2 linked regions of the Schizosaccharomyces pombe genome follow. The protein of the gene in region 1 interacts with the protein of each later gene in a biochemical or structural test. Each region holds a gene or a part of one and is shown on either strand. Other genes may lie near its edges.

Region 1 (9,790 bases):
TGAGGATACGCATTTGTGTTGAATAGGAGTACGGGATTAATTAAGATGATCTGCCAGTAAACTCCTTTCCCTTCATTCTCATCATTTGCAACCGTATGACTAACCATTGTTTAAACTTTTCTTTTTCTTAGTTTATAATTGTTGGTTTGCTTTAGTCATTGTCTGCTAACCGACAGTCTTCAATTGGCGTTGATCCCGGAGTTTGCAGAACAGTATGTTGATTATAATGGAATAAAGCGAAAGATTCAACTGGTTGCTGCGCTTCCCGAGGATGAACGGAAGAAATTATTGAGGCGTAATAGTGACGGATCATGGCCAAAGGGATCGATCGACGAAATGTTGGAAAACGATCTTCAGAAGGTTGTTAACTTGTTCAATACTCGCATTGTCCAGCTTGATAATTATGTCACTCGTTTGTCTACGGAGAAATCTCCCAATACTGAAATTACACAGGCACTGTCTTCATCTTACGAAGCTGAAGAAAAGGCGAAGCAACTGAAAGAGCTAGACTTTCGTCTTCAACAATTATCATCCTTTTGTGAATGGAATAAGCTGGCCTTTGAAAAGCTAGCTGCCAATATGGATAAGCACCTTGGTACGGAGCGCTTGGTTACATTTTATGAGCAGAAGGTGTGTAAGCTTGATTTTGCGAATTCGTCCAAGATCTATGAGTCCATGATTGCCCTGAAGGCTTTGAATTCTTCTCAAAACGATAGTGAAGTGAAAGACAAGTTGGAAAAATTGTCAATTCACCATCCCTTGAAGAAGGATCTTTTAGCTTTTATTCAACTGGATATTGCCGCAGAGGTCGTGACCGCTTGTATAAATGCACCTGATAGTGTACTCGTAGATATACTGGCTGCCTCCATCATTGCGGGAGCCAAAGCTTGTATGCGTGAAGTTATAGGAAGAATTGGTTTACGTTCTGAGTGCCTGGCTTCTGCATTACGTCGTGCAATTAACAACCTCTGTGGTCCTGACGAAGGAGTTTTATATTTTTTGGAGGTGTTGAAACAAATTTGTTCAGTGGTTTATGTGGATTCATACCATTCTAATCGTTTACTTTCAAGGATTCTTCTTGTAGAACGAAATAGCAAGGGACAGAGTGTGATGCACTCTGTTGCGAAACTCGGTTGGGCAGGATTGTGCAGTAAGTTTTGTGAAATTGTTTCATCAATCCCTGACTCTGAGCCATTGAATTGGATGCTTCCATGTTGGCGCGATGTAATGCACGACACTCCCTTGACTTTGGCTATTAAGGGAAATCATGTTGAAGCTCTTCATGCTTTGCTTTCTGCTCAGGATAAGGAAACAACCTCTACCAAGCCGGGACCCGTTCCTCCTTTGGTCTTGACTTGCTGTGTAGGCGATTACGATTTGATCGTAGAAGAACTCATCCTTGCAGGATTCAATCCTAACGAAGTTGATGCTAGTAGCAATACAGCTTTACACACCGCTGTTCGTTATAACAGGCCGGAATGTGTTAAAATGTTACTCAAACTTGGAGCAAACCCTAGCGCAAGGGATTTTTTGAATTCATGGACTCCTTTGATGCTTGCATCAGCTACTGGACTTTCCGAAATTGTTTCAATTTTAGTTGCCTCGGGCGCTTCGGTTGACGAAGTTGATTCTTCAGGTTGGACTGCTATGGAACAAGCTGTGGTTCGGGGGTATTTACACCTAGCAGATAAACTTAGAACTCAAGTCGCCTTGAGTGATAAGCCTGTTAATTTACATACACTTTATATCAAAGCCTCAAGTTCCGAAATGAGGAGCAGAAAACGTGCCATGGATTTACAATTATCTCGTTCAGTGGTCATTATTCGAATCAGTGATTTGGCCGGTAGAATCCGCGTTAGTCTTCAAGGTGATGATGCTGTGTATGTTTCAGGGCGGTCTCCATCTTTTGCCGCAAGTAGACCATCTTCAGTAGATTTCATGTCTCAATCTACTGACTCGTTGAGTAAAAACGACACTACTGCTTCTAATGGCTCTATGACACCATCTTCTAGCCAAAACAACTCAGTGATTATTGATATCCCTCGCTCCCATTTTGATAATGCCGGTGAAGTTTGCTTAGAGAATTTGGCGGAGCCTGATGAAATTGCCGACGACTCTATTCATTTGCATTATGATGCCGCACAAGAAAATAGTCCGCAACCTGTAAACGGGTCTTCTCCACCGTATGAATTGGTTTTCGTTACAAGAAATACAGAAGAAGCAACTATTACAATTGATTTGTTAGCAAATCGATCCCATAAAATATTAGGGAGAACTGTATGTTGCTTGACTTCTCTGGTATCTGATTTGGGGAATCATATGCAGTCGTTGAAACCTTTGGCACCCTTACCATTACTTTCGAGTAAAACTCTTAAACCAATAGCTCATGTTAATGCGGATGTTCTTATTTCTAAGGTGACAGTTGATGATAGATTTTCGTCAAATGATGGCATAAGTACCCCTGCCTTATCGCTGGAAGCAGTTTCCAACGTAAGTCGCACTGCATTGGAAGACGCTGAGCGTTCTTTACACAAATCTGCCACAACTACATCAGAATCAGGGAAATCGAATGGTGTTGCGGTTATCGGACATCGTGGACTTGGTAAGAATCAGCCTGATCGTTTGAGTCTTCAACTTGGCGAGAACACTTTACAATCGTTTATAAAAGCGGCAGATCTTGGTGCTTCTTACGTTGAATTAGATGTGCAAATGACTAAAGACATGGTCCCAGTGGTATACCATGATTTTATCGTAAACGAAACCGGAACGGATGCACAAGTGCATTCGCTGACTTTGGAGCAATTCTTAGGGGCTTCCCACTCTCCTTCAGAAGAAATTAAAGATGATGCAAGTGACATTCAGCAGAAGAGACGTCCTAGGGCCTACAGTTCCTCATTTACACCTTCAGGATCACAGGTTAATTTCGGTGAATTTGCTGAAGAAAACGCACGTTTGAAGCCTAAAGTATATAAGGGTAATGCCCTTGGTCATACGATTTGTGCACCGTTCACAACTTTAAAGGATGTTTTGAAGGAAGTTCCACAATCCGTAGGACTTAATGTGGAATTTAAGTACCCCATGCTAAGTGAAGCTGAGGAAGAGAAATTGCTCCCTATAGCTTATGATTATAACTTTTACGTGGATACCATTCTATCGATAATCAAAAAGTATGGTGGTAAAAGAAAGTATATTTTCTCTAGTTTTAATCCTGATATATGCATCTTACTTTCTTTGAAATCGACTAATCCTGTTCTTTTTTTGACTGAAGGAGGTACCGCTTACCGAACAGACGTTCGTGCAGCATCGCTTAGACAAGCTTTAAAGTTTGCCTCACAGTGGAGTTTTCTGGGTATCGTTAGTGCTTGTGAACCGCTCATTATGTGCCCGAGGCTGATCAAGGCAGTTAAACAATTGGGTTTATCTTGCTACACCTATGGTGTTCTCAATAATGATGTTGACAATGTCCGACGCCAAGTACGTTTTGGAGTTGATGCTGTCATTGTAGACAATGTGTTAGCCATTAGACGTGCCTTGAACCAGTACGATGAAAGTTTGGAATCTGATTGATCTAGAAAGTTTGAACGAATACTACCGACGATATAGAAGATGAGGTGCTTTAGTTAGAAACCGATATTAGTTAATTTTTAGTTAGAAGAAAGTATATCATAAGAAAATTTCATAGATAGAAAAAAAAAGGAAAAAATATCATGATAACAATTAATGAAATACAAATAATGACCGATCACTATGGTGCATCACTGGATGCTTCTTTACATAAGAAAGTGTTATATATACGGCGCGATAAAACCGGACCTAAATTTCGTTCACTAATACTAGATTGGATGACAACGTTGGTTAATGATTCCTCGCCGTGAGTTTTTAGATGATGAATTAAAGATGGTATACTGTCAAATTGATCGCATATGGCGTTAGCAATGTTAGGTGTAACTCGTAGTATTTGCCGCAACATAAAATTTAGAGAGTTTTCAATTCTATCGGCGGATTTGACATGTCCTATTTCGGTAGTAGAGGCTCTAGCTGAAAATTTAGAAAAGTGCTTGTAACGAGATAAAGCTATGTCGCCGGTAAAGGAAACTATCCATTGAGCGGTTTCTTTTTCGTCATTTGAAGTGTTTATAAGAATACTATGTTCGAAACTGAAGCGGACGATTTCACTCTCTAACTTTTCTTTAGTAAAGTTTTGATATTTTGATAAAGAACCAAATAACAAAGGTCTGGTACCGCTATTAACAGCTGCTGCATATTGACGATTTAATTCTGCTTTCAGAGATTTAAAATAGTTTGGGATGCCTTCCAGCAACAGTATTAGCTTACAGCCTTTAAACTTTTCAGACATTTCATGAAAAAAAGTATCAGCTTGGTCCTCTTCGATGTATTTTATAAAATCCCGGCATTTCAACCGTAGTAGGGCAAAAGGTTCGATTTGTTCATGCTCTATGCTAAGTTCAAACCGGTTGGTAGAAGAATTAAACACATTGTTTACCTTCCTTTTCCACATAATTGAGTCTTTTGGTTGATTTGAATTGACAACGAATTGGCAGTTGTATGAATCTAATTGAGAGCGAACAGTTGAATACCAAGATGAAGCCCAATCATCCGGCGATAAAAGAATTATCTCAGATAGGCATTCTTCTTTGGTTCTCTTAACTTTGTTAATTTTTTGAAGTTCCTTTGAATTCTTTCTGTCCAATTCTTTCGCCATCTTTCTATTCAAGCTGTCAACCTTATCTAAAGTTTTTGATTTTTTCAAAGAATCTTCGTAACGTTTCCTCTTACGTTGTGTATTAGAGTCTAGCTCGTACGGTTCCAAGCTCCTAGAGCATAATTTTCTCATTTTTTTTAATTTATCCAAATTTTTTTTATTTGAATTTGAAGTAGAGGCAGGAGGCGTATCGGTAGTCCTTGAAATTTTGGGTAGTCTCATTTTTTTAAAAGCTCTACTTTGAATGGAAAGTTTGTTTAGAGAAGGAAGTTCTTGAAAACTATCTTCCTGACTAGTATTGGGTTCAATTGAAGAATGCTTGGATGGAGAGGTCGGGCTATCTAAGTGCACATCAGATGTGAGATTGAAAGTTCTTTCTTGATTTTCTACGGAGGTTTTGGAACGGTTATTGATGAGGTCGATTGTATTGGAGCTGTCTTGGTTAGGAAATAAATTAGGCGTAGAAGGGGCATGTGATAATCGATTAGAAGTAGGACTAGCGATGGATGGCATGCATGGCTTTAGTATAGAGGATGAGGATGTTAGTGCATCGTTGAAAGATTTTGTTTTTGTTAGCGGACTCTGGGTAAATGGGAAATGATCGTCATCATTCGTGTCCAGTAGTATATCGTGAAGGGAGTGGGATTTTTGAAGGACTGTGGAGAGCGGCGGGGAGGACTGGAAATCTTTTAAGGGTGAAGAAGTCAAAGAAGCAGCTTTTTTAGATAAAGGGGAAGCCACTTGTTCATTGTCGTCGGGAATAACGATGGGAGAGGAGGTTTTCGATGACAATTGTGTAGTCCTAGGAATGGTGGGAGTATGGAATAAATGAAATTCTTGGTGTTTTGGTTGCGAGGAAAGGGAATTAGGGGGAGAAGAGTTTAAATTAATGATTTCGACGCGTGAAGAAGGATTTAAATTCGTGTTTGTTGACTGGTTTGAAGAAGTTAAAGAGAGCAAAAGATTATCGGTAACCGACTTTTTATTAGTGATATTAAGGGCATCACGGGGACTAGGGAGAACATCTTCGGAGCCGGAAACTAAAGGAGTACTGACCCCAAATGAACGATTAGCGAGATGTGGAAGAAAAGTGTGGAAAGGAAGGAAATGCTGGCAACAATATTTGTCAACTTACCTGAAACTTTTTAGCAAACTATCGCATTGAGTAGATCTTTGAGGAGTATCAAGAACAGTTATAACATTGTGTTCTGACAAAGCAATATTGTCCTAAAAAGAGGGTTAAAAAAAAAGCGAACAGAAAGAAAGGGAAATACGCGACAAACCTTGGAAGGAGAAGCTTGTGAGCTTGAAATGTCAACATCAGCTTCAGAATCGATCACAATAGCGGAATCTGTAGACTGCAGAGTCATTCAATGCATGTGTAGTGTTTGTTTTCCGAACAATAGAGGGTTTGGTGGTTAGGACAGGTAGGGCAAAGTGTACACAAGGAGCCGGCAGGGAACGAGAGTTGGTGACAGAAATAGAGCGAAAAGAAATGAGAAAAAAAAAAAAAAGTTTGAAGTAAAAAATTTAGATAGGAATGGTATTAAAGAGTTTGAATAATTAAAAAGATTGGAGGTTTGCGTGGATGTTTGAGGATATTTGGTATGGAAAGTATAGAGAGTAGTAGGTTTGTTTACATATAAGTATATATAGGTTAGGTGAGAGATGGGTAAAAAATGGAGAAGAGAAATGGATGCAGGAGGAGTTTAGATAAGATGAATAGTATAAAAAAAGGAAAATATTTATTCTTTTAGAAGTAGTTGAAAGGATGTCGTTTTGTGTTTGAGAATTGAAGATTATTGAAATCAATGAGTGGGATGGGTGAGTATTTCTTTTGCAAATACTGTGGTTTAGTGTGTCATTTTGAAAGAATTTTAGGTAGAAGGGCGATACGGTATTTAGGGACTTTGGTAGTACGTTAGAAAGTGTAAAAAGATTGAATAAAATAAAAATTTCAAAGAAAAGAAAATCAATTAATTTAACCAAAATTAAAATAAATTCAATTCAAATTCAATAGAATAAAATACTCTAATATTTAAAGCTCAATAGTATAAAAATAAAAATAAAAATGTACTAGAGTTTCTTTTTCATTAGTCTGTTTCATCAATGATGGTAAACAAAAAAATAAAATAAAATAAAATAAAACAAAATAAAAATGAAAATGAAAATGAAAAATCCTTTGATGCAATGTTTCCAAATGGGTTTATGCTTACTTTTTTTTTGTATTCTTTAATTGATCAACGATACAATGAATGATGAGTAAAAACTTTTTTTGTTTTTACCATGAATACATTGTTTTTCTTTTTTTTTCGGGGGGGGGGGGGGGGGGGCTTTTTTTTCCTTACTCTTCTTTGTCTCTTTTTAAAATTTTCTTTTTCTATTTAATTTAATTTTACTTTTCATTGCAAAATCAATTCTACTTATTAGTTCGCAGTTTAAAACATTTTTTCATTGCGATCTGTGAATTTTGCAACCAAACAAAGAAAGCAGAAAGGCAAGGGTGTAGAGTATAGTAGAGCAGATCAAAGCAAAGCAAAGTAAAGAGAGAGAGAAACCAATATTCGCAAACTGAAATTTCTCCTTTTTTAAGAGGACCAACGAGTTGTGCGAAATTTCCAAATTATTCATAGTAAATTCAACTGCATTATACAAGTATAATCAATACACACTACTATCTTTTATCATTCTTCACTAAACAATCATTAGTAGAGTACGAAAGTCATCGCTACATTTTACTTGTGACCAAGCCAAACCTTTTTTCCTTATAGTCAAGACAGTGTGTATCAAGGCAGCGTATGTGAATAGCAACAGCGTATGTATATGTGTGTGTATCATTGTTCGCTATAGCTTTTTTCTCTTAGTGTCAACGTGTGAGTGTGATAAGTTGTATTTTTACAACGGAAATCCTTTAAATAGACTCTTATACATGTTGATCCAGCAATAAGCCAAAAAAAGTGCAATACGTCAAAAATCGTAGTATTCGGCAAAACAATTGCATTCAGTATGTTTTGATTCTTAAGAGAAAATCTCTTTTTTTCTTTTTTTTTTTTTTTTAATTATAATTCTTGTTTCCTTTCTCGCCTCTCCTCTCTTCTCTCTTTTATCTTTTTCTCTTTTCACCCTATACTCCTTTTGCTACCACGACCATTGTTGCTTCGGTTACGCAGAGTTTATTTTCTTCGGATAGCAGGCGCACCTTTATCTTAACTCCGGGTTTAGTAGCCGGGAGGAATGGGAGAGATGGACGATCAGAGCTCCATCTAAAAAAGTAAAATGCAGCGTCCGATGGGCCGGAAGCGTTGCAGGTCTTTTCGTACGGAAGCATGAACACAGGAGATGAAGGAACATGAGCAAAAAACGAATGTAGACAAAGACAGCGATTCAAATAGAAATTGTATTTGCTATTACTATTACTATTTAACAGTTCTTTACTAAACTATCGCTATTTTATTGTTATCGCTATTGTCATTGTCATTGCTATACTGCTCTTTGTCTACTGGGGGCATCAAGGATCCTAACCCCCATTCTTCAAATCTCTGTCTGGGCTAGGGCAGGCACCAATAACTAGGATAAAGACTAAGACTAAGACTAAGACCAGATAATCCATCGAAGGATATAGCGTTGTATAGTGTGGTGTAATGCAATACGATGGATTCCAAGCTATCAGTCGGATCAAAGTTTTAGATGAGAGGAAGCGATGAAAAGAAAAGAAGAAAGAGAAGGAGAAAGAGAAAAACAAAAAGAAAAAGAAAAAGAAAATAAAATAAAACAAAAACAAAATAAACAAAATAATCCTTCTTACAACATCTTGAAATATTCTTTTGCACTCAGACAAATTTCTTTTACTTATCTTTTATTGGAATTATTTACTGAACATGTCTGATGCTCCCTGGTTTCTTGTCATTCATTACTGCATTTCTATACTATTCTATTCTATTGATCTTTCTTTTTCTCCCATTTTAAATGTTATTATACAATGCTTTTCTTCAATTTACTTTTTTTCTTCTCTTTCATTTTTTCTTTCTCTTCCTTTTTTCTCTTCTCTTGCTGCGTTTCTCTGTTTACTTTTGCGCTCGCCTGCTGCTTCTGCCTCGTCTCCCCTCTGAGTCACATGTCACCCGATCCAAAGTTGAAATTTGCATTGTAGCGGCTTTTGCACGCTGCTTTTCCGAGGATCAGGGCTATCGAGCCTGAACCAACATGGTCGGATTGATTGGCCCGTGGAAAATATTGACTCTTTCGTGATTGGTGGGCTAACGTAATTGATTATCTTGATCGTATCCATACAAAAGCGCAACAAATCCTCCTCAAAAAACCTTTTCTTAGTCAGTCTCCTTTCGCCAGCAAGCAAAAACAAACAGCAAGCTAAGCAGAGCAGTATAGAGCAAAGCAAAGCAAGTAGAGCAGAGCAGAGCAGTATAGAGCAACTAAAAGAAAAGTTGGTGATCCCCTTAGTACTTGAATTCCATTGTGTATTCATTCATCCTCTTCTTTTCTTTTTTTCCTTTCCTCTTTTTCTCTTTCTCTTCCTTTAAAAATTCTTTTCAGCAATTGAAAAGAATCCCCTCTCTTTATACCGTACGCGCACGTTAGTTGGCTATTTCTTTTCTCTTTTTTTTTTTTTTTTATAAAAAAAATAGGAGATCTTTTTTTCGTGCACGCTTCTGGCTGTTTCCCTTTTTTTTTCCTCGCAATATCGGGACGTTTTTGGTTGTTTATTTAATCTAATCTATTGTTTTTATTATACATAACGGTCCTTTATTTTTCTTATTTTTTTTTCTCTCTTGCGACTAGTTTGTTTCATTTTCTTACTTGTCCTCACTCCCTCTACCTTTTTACCTTGTTATTTTTTTTTAATCATTGGGTTAGGTAGTCGCTTTGTTTTGAAACACGCATATATATATATATATATATATATATATACGATATACCAATTCTAGCTTGTGAAAATCTTGTACTGCTTTTTTCTTGTCTAGTCTTCTTTTAGTTTTCCTTTTTTCGTTGTTTACTTTGTGTGTGTGTGTATATTCTTTGTTTCCTTTTTTTTCCTCTTTTACGTTTTTT
Region 2 (6,261 bases), on another chromosome or scaffold:
AATTTCTTCAGTAAATGCAAAATGCAAAATGTTATGATTTACAATCAAATCACATGTCCTAGCAAACCAGTTCTTCCATACATACCAAGGTGCTCTTTTTCATCTTCCGGAACGTCTTTAAATCCAAAATGAGTCATGTGGCTTGAGGTATCAGTATCTTTCGAGCTAGTACTGGTATAGCGACAATTAGACAATCGAGAGCCAGCCAAAGCTGTAGACCTGATTCCTTTCAATCCATCAGCTAAAAATTTAGCAACAGGAGCTCTTAAACGTGACATGATACAGCAGTTTCAAAAACGAATACCAAGTGTAACGGTTTTGTTTATGGATAGTGCTAGGTAGAAACTCACGATTTGAAGGGAATCTGATGCTACCTATATACCGCAATACACTAACATACGCAATTTCCGATGGTAAAGCAAAGGTAAATTAAATATATGGGAAATGATAAGAAAATTGAATAAATATTATGAATCATAAATAAATAAAAGTTCAAAGGCTCAAGATTCTGGAAAGAAAACGCTTGCGACCTTGGCGGAAAGTGCTGGCCCTATTGTTTGAAAACCATAGCCTTGACAAGTCTTATTCAGTAATAAGTTTCTTTCCTGGCTAGATGATGACTTTTCGTACGCCTCAAATAAATGCATGAATGTTGGATATTTCTTCTGAATCTCGATGGCTTTTGAAGCACTTATACCTTTTATAGTCATAAGCATTCGAATAAAAATATCCCCCACGGTCAAAGTAGAAGACTTCGAGAGGACAGAGGAAAATGCATGGTATGATATGTGGTAAGGAGTTGAGGGATCAATTTTTAGAAGTTGCTCTCGTAACGACTCATAAGTTTTGGCTTCTATCGACAAATCGGGAATGACAGCGAGGGTTTTACGTTTCTCATAAAACAGGTTAATTTGCTTTGTCATTTCAGCAAGCAAACTTACGCTGTGTTCAAGTGATCGCGTATGACGGACATGAAATAATTGATCGACTTGGGTATTGCTAACAGCTGTACGAATTGATTCCGTGAAACTTTCATCATAAGAGGATTCCTCCAAAATGTAGGTGACTGAACGTATTCCGCTCTTCTTTAGACGTGCCTTTTGTTCGTGAAATCTTCCGTCCTTAATGGAAGCAACTAAATCATCATATCTTTTCCTTTCAACGACAAAATCCAACACAACTTCTTGACCGCTTTCCATATCCCTTGCAACCCATAAAGCATCTCCCAATTCTAATGATCGTACCTGACAATTGACACCAAAGTCATTAGTCAGTTTATCGATAATAAGATTGCGATCCAAGGGAGAACGTATTTCTCGAGTATCAATCAGAAGAAAAACCGTACAGTTTGAGAATAATACCGTCTCGATTTTTAAGTTAGACAAATTGCTTTCATTTGGTTGCTTTTTTTCTTGTTCCGTCAAGTCAATCAACTGCTCATTGTTAATGATATGGTGATCATGAATTCCGGTCAACGAATCCACCTGATCAACATCTATATCGGTTTCAACACCATCAGAAACTTCATTATGATCTACCGGACAGTAAGTAACATGTAGTTCACCTCCGTGGTCTGAAGAACTTCCTGCTTTATTGATTGATGTAACAAAATTTGGAGGTTGGCATAAAGAGGAATCATGATCATCGGATTTAGAGACAGAAAAGTTTGATACAGTATGTTTCCGTTGAAAGGAATCGTCTACTTTTGCCAAACGTATGCAAACTTCTTCACCATCGTCGGTCAAGCAGTACTTAGAGGGATGACCTGTCTGGTAAACTAAATTTTTTGTGATCAAAGTCTTCATAGCACTCCATGCAGTATAACGCATGTTTCGGTCTGTAGCAGATCCAAAGGACGAATCACAATACGGTTGGGCCATCGTAACAATTTGAGGCTTTGTAGCGAATTCGTGTTTATTAAGCATATAAAGAGCGCAAAGAATTGAATATGCACCAGAACGATAGCTCGGAACATAGACCTTTCTCTTTCTTGTAGTCGGTTTTTTAACGCTTCGAGGCTTTTCAGAAGAAGTCTCAGAAGACGATTTATTAGCATTGACATGAGAATCATTCTGTTCATTGTGCGTGCTAATTGGAATATTATTTTCCAAACAGTAAGCGTTCCATTTCTTTTCTAGCTTGGCACAAATCGTAGGGCCAATTCCCTTCAGTGCCAATGCCTGAGAAGGACGATGAAATGTGATGGGGCAACTTTTCATTGAATCGTAGGCCTAATTATTAGCACGGTTTCTTATTTAAAACAACAACAACAGTGATTGTTATGATATTTATGGAGTACGAAGCTATAAAAGCTTTCGAAAAATTACAGTCATTATTAATTTAATATTTAAATTATTTATTTTTCAAAGAGTTTTTCACTAATCCAATAAATTTCCTACCTTTCTCCAGGTTTGATATGACTTGGGGAAGCGACGCGTCGACTCTTCCATCCACTCCTGTATCCATTGTAAAAACAGCGGATTTCCACAATCCATGGATCCGAAAAACAAAGAAAAAAACTATTTCATTCAAATTATCGATTGTCACACGAAACAAAAGTCTAAACAAATGGATGTGGATAGAATGCGATTTCCTAAATTTCGTGTAAAGACATTAGCATGGTTGCCGGGACAACCGAGATTTTATGATCAGTATAAACAAAATAAAGAAAACAATTATAGGTGAACAAAATAAAAAATCATTATCATCATTATAAAACAGTTTCTCGTGTATTAGGGTATATTTTTAGAAAGTTTGTGAAATGATGAAGCTTTAGATCATAATAAAGCCATACTTGGATGATTTTCTGTTTTCCTAAAAGGAAGGGGTTTAAGAAGATCCCTTTTGTTTCTCGAGCTGCTTGGCAGAAGTATATGCTCTTTGGCGTTCCCATAGGACAAATTTGATAGCTGCCATGGTTTTATTGACTGCAAGTACACGCTCATTTGAGGCTTTGGGAATAGTCAACTGTAAGCGTTTCATTTCAGCCCTTTGTGTGAACAATAGGTTCTTCTCTCGGAGACAATTGTACCAAAGTCCATGTAGATCATTAAAAGACTTCCAACGAAGCTCTTCTGCAGCCCATGCTCTACCGAATTTAGCCTCTTCCGATGGTGGTGGAAGGGCTTGCTTGTCCCGAAAGAAATTCCACAAAGGGTGCGTGTCTGAAACCTTAGGAGCACTTTTTACTTTTGGAACAGGAAATACAAAGCCCTTTGGAATACGTACGGCTGCTTTCTGAGCGCTAGCCAACGTGGACCTCATCTTTGGTGGTAAGTAGAAGGTGCGCTGTAACACCCTGACATTGACCGATAATAATGGTTGTAAGTCATACTTTAAAAATAATTATTTTTTATTATACTTCATTGACTTTCTTAATTATTGCTAAATTGAGAAATTGTTCATTTCCTTATTTTATTTTATTTTAAGATTTCATGGCGAGGAAACATTCCAAACGAAAAGTTTATAATGTAAACAGAAAGTGTGTAGGGCGATTTATGTATTTTCCCTAGATTTGTTATCGAGTGAAAAGTTTGAATCCATGAAGGAAATACTAAAGTACTTTGATTTGCAGCTAATACATGGTGTAATGATACATTGCTTTCGACCGCTTATAAATTTATTTCGAGATTAACGGGACGCAACCGTTTAATTAAAAACGGGAAGTAAAGAAATTTTTTTTGTCTATACATTTAGAAAAATTTGTTCAGTTTCATAAAACAGTAGCACATAAATTTTGAGGATCATCGGTGGGGAAAGAGACAGGCACCAATTTAGGTACCTTACGGTTTCGTTGAAAAGTAGGAAGTAAAGAGGGTTGGAGGTGAGGGTATTCTTCGACTGTTGCTATTTGATAGATGCTACCGGAACGGACCAGTTGACCTTTATTTACCATCCAACGAATGGCCTCGGAAGCGCTGTCGTGAAAAGTTGGTAACAATGGTACGTTTTGAGCAAGCCAGTTAAATATTTCATCTTTGGAAGGTGAGAGGGTGTTACGAATAGCTAACCGTATTAACGTTGGATAGTCGTATAAGGTTCCAGAATTCGCAACATAACTTGCGGTATAGGGGACAGGTGCAGGCTCATCAGAGGGAGCTTCATCTTGTTTAGCATGAAGTCGCTCTTGTAAAGATATTTGTTGGCGTTCAGAACTAACAAGTAGTTGATGCCGAATCTCACCCAACAACTCCCGAGTACGTGGGTTGTATATGGGAAGAGATGGATAAGACTTTTCACAAAAAAGAATAAGATCTGCGAGATGAGGAGTAGGTAAACTTGATAGATACATTTTTTTGTCTGATTCACTTAACCCAAGATCTTGTGCCGTCATTCCCGTTTCTAAAGGTTGCTTGGCACGCCTGTACTGGCATTTCATACAAAACCATTCAGCATCCACATCCTGAACGGTTGCATCGTCAATCGGAGGGTGATGGCAAAGCTGATGATATGGAGAATTGCATCCATCACAAAATACGATTCGATTAGATAAAGGAGAATGTCCTCGTTGACAGACGCTACACAAGGTGACCATATCGACCTTGCGACTTTTCCGTTTCAATGCGGTGGCATTAGGATTGTATGCGACTGGCCGCTGAATCTTTCTACCCGATTTTGTTTTCATTCCTTCCACGTGAAAGTCTTCCTGTAAATCATCCTCGGCACCTTCTGCAACATCGAGATCGTAAAATGGTATACGATTATCGTCTTCCCGACGAGACGATCGAATGCGTCCATTCTTAGTCTTGGTTGATGCAGACTTGGGCAAGCGATTGAATGATACAGACAAAGAAGGATCTTGCTCCGGTGGTACTGAAGTAGCGCCTGAAGAGGAAGATGCAGGCATAGTCATACCGCCATACGGTGTCTGTACATGCTGCTGCAGTTGATGGAAATCAGCGCCAAATGGTCCAACATCGGAAATTCCAGAACCCGATGCGACAGGGGAAGCATCAAAATTCGAGCTGTCCGTTTCTCTAACTACACCTTGAGCCGATACCTGAGGAAGGGATGAATCAGCACCATTTTCAAAATGGAAACCGGCATAGTCATTTACACCATAGCTCTTTCCTTCGTCGAAAAAATTCTTTTGAGACATTGTAAAAAACGAGGACTAATAAATATGAGTAATTTGGAAAATTTTGATTTAAAACGAAATGCACAATTAGATGAAACTAGCAAACATGAAACGCAAATTAAAATGATGATACACGCAATTGTCACGCAGTGAATGTTAATTCAAAATATCTGAGACCATAGAATAACTTTATGTAAAAAGTAAATCTTCCTAAATCTCAATTCATTGATGTAAATTCGCCATTCAACGAAAGATGAGTTTAACACGCGCGTCTCAAGAAGAAGGTATGCATAGGCCATATAAAACTGGCATCGTTTTACAGAGCCAGCCTTACATTACGGTAACAACATAAGCAACAAGACATTTTCATTCGTTAAAATGCACAAAGCACATCGTATAAGACACGTTAATCATCACTAATCTAGCTTCTCGGCATAAAAAAATTTTAAAGTAAAACGCACAATAGCCTATGTAAGCGGTCCAATAAGTAGTAAGTTGATAACTTTAATTAGTAAAGAGGGCGAATCAAAAGCTTTATATATATCTAAACTTTACTAAATTGGCCAATCAGCAATGCGTTTTGAATCAACAAAATGAGGTATGACAAAGAGAATTTCTTGCTCTACATCCCGGCAGTCTTTTGTTCGTCTACCAAACAACAAGGAAAAGGCATTTTGGGCATACATATGCCAAACTTGTGATCCTTCACAGTACAAATTGCTCAAAGATGCCTGTCTTTATGTTTGATGAGCACGACAATTTGAATGAGAATTACAATTCCCATTTGTCTAGTGACGATGAGATTGCAGAGGAGGGATATGATTTTGAAGAATTGGAGGCATCTGCGTCGACAATCACTTCGTCAAGTGATTTGAAGGATGGAAAGAATGCCAAAGATGAAAAGGGGACGGTAGAGTTTAAGGTTGCTGCCCATGGTGATTTTATTTCTTCCAAGGGTGACAACTATGTACCAAGCGGAAAGATGCGTCCAGCAGACTTTCAACCCTTAACGGTATTGGGTCGTGGCTCTTACGGAAAGGTGCTCCTAGTGAAGCAAAAAAATACTGGACGACTGTTTGCTCAGAAACAGCTAAAGAAAGCTAGCATTGTTCTTCGTGCCAAGGGCCTCGAACAAACCAAAAATGAGCGACAGATATTAGAAGAGGTTCGACATCCGTTCATTT

Evidence for each region. Proteins that work in one complex are often made in the same cells at the same time.
Region 2: the proteins of eme1 (region 1) and mus81 form a complex in vitro, tested with the Schizosaccharomyces pombe proteins (one study listed by BioGRID).

What each region holds. Positions count from the first base shown.
Region 1 is NC_003424.3:3,293,775-3,303,564, forward strand, and holds eme1 (Holliday junction resolvase subunit Eme1), read right to left. Parts: upstream 6,140-9,790; 5' UTR 6,094-6,139; coding exon 6,007-6,093; exon of another isoform or gene 5,951-6,006; coding exon 5,859-5,950; exon of another isoform or gene 5,775-5,858; coding exon 3,746-5,774; 3' UTR 3,568-3,745; downstream 1-3,567. Other genes in the region: glycerophosphoryl diester phosphodiesterase Gde1, read left to right, coding at 177-3,567. UniProt on the Schizosaccharomyces pombe protein: Interacts with mus81 to form a DNA structure-specific endonuclease with substrate preference for branched DNA structures with a 5'-end at the branch nick. Typical substrates include 3'-flap structures, D-loops, replication forks and nicked Holliday junctions.
Region 2 is NC_003421.2:458,954-465,214, reverse strand, and holds mus81 (Holliday junction resolvase subunit Mus81), read right to left. Parts: upstream 2,496-6,261; coding exon 2,400-2,495; exon of another isoform or gene 2,391-2,399; intron 2,234-2,390; exon of another isoform or gene 2,232-2,233; coding exon 501-2,231; downstream 1-500. Other genes in the region: coq5 (C-methytransferase), read right to left, coding at 86-278; mrpl4 (mitochondrial 54S ribosomal protein uL29m), read right to left, coding at 2,830-3,264; PHD finger domain-containing protein Phf1, read right to left, coding at 3,713-5,098; serine/threonine protein kinase S6K family Psk1, read left to right, coding at 5,805-6,261.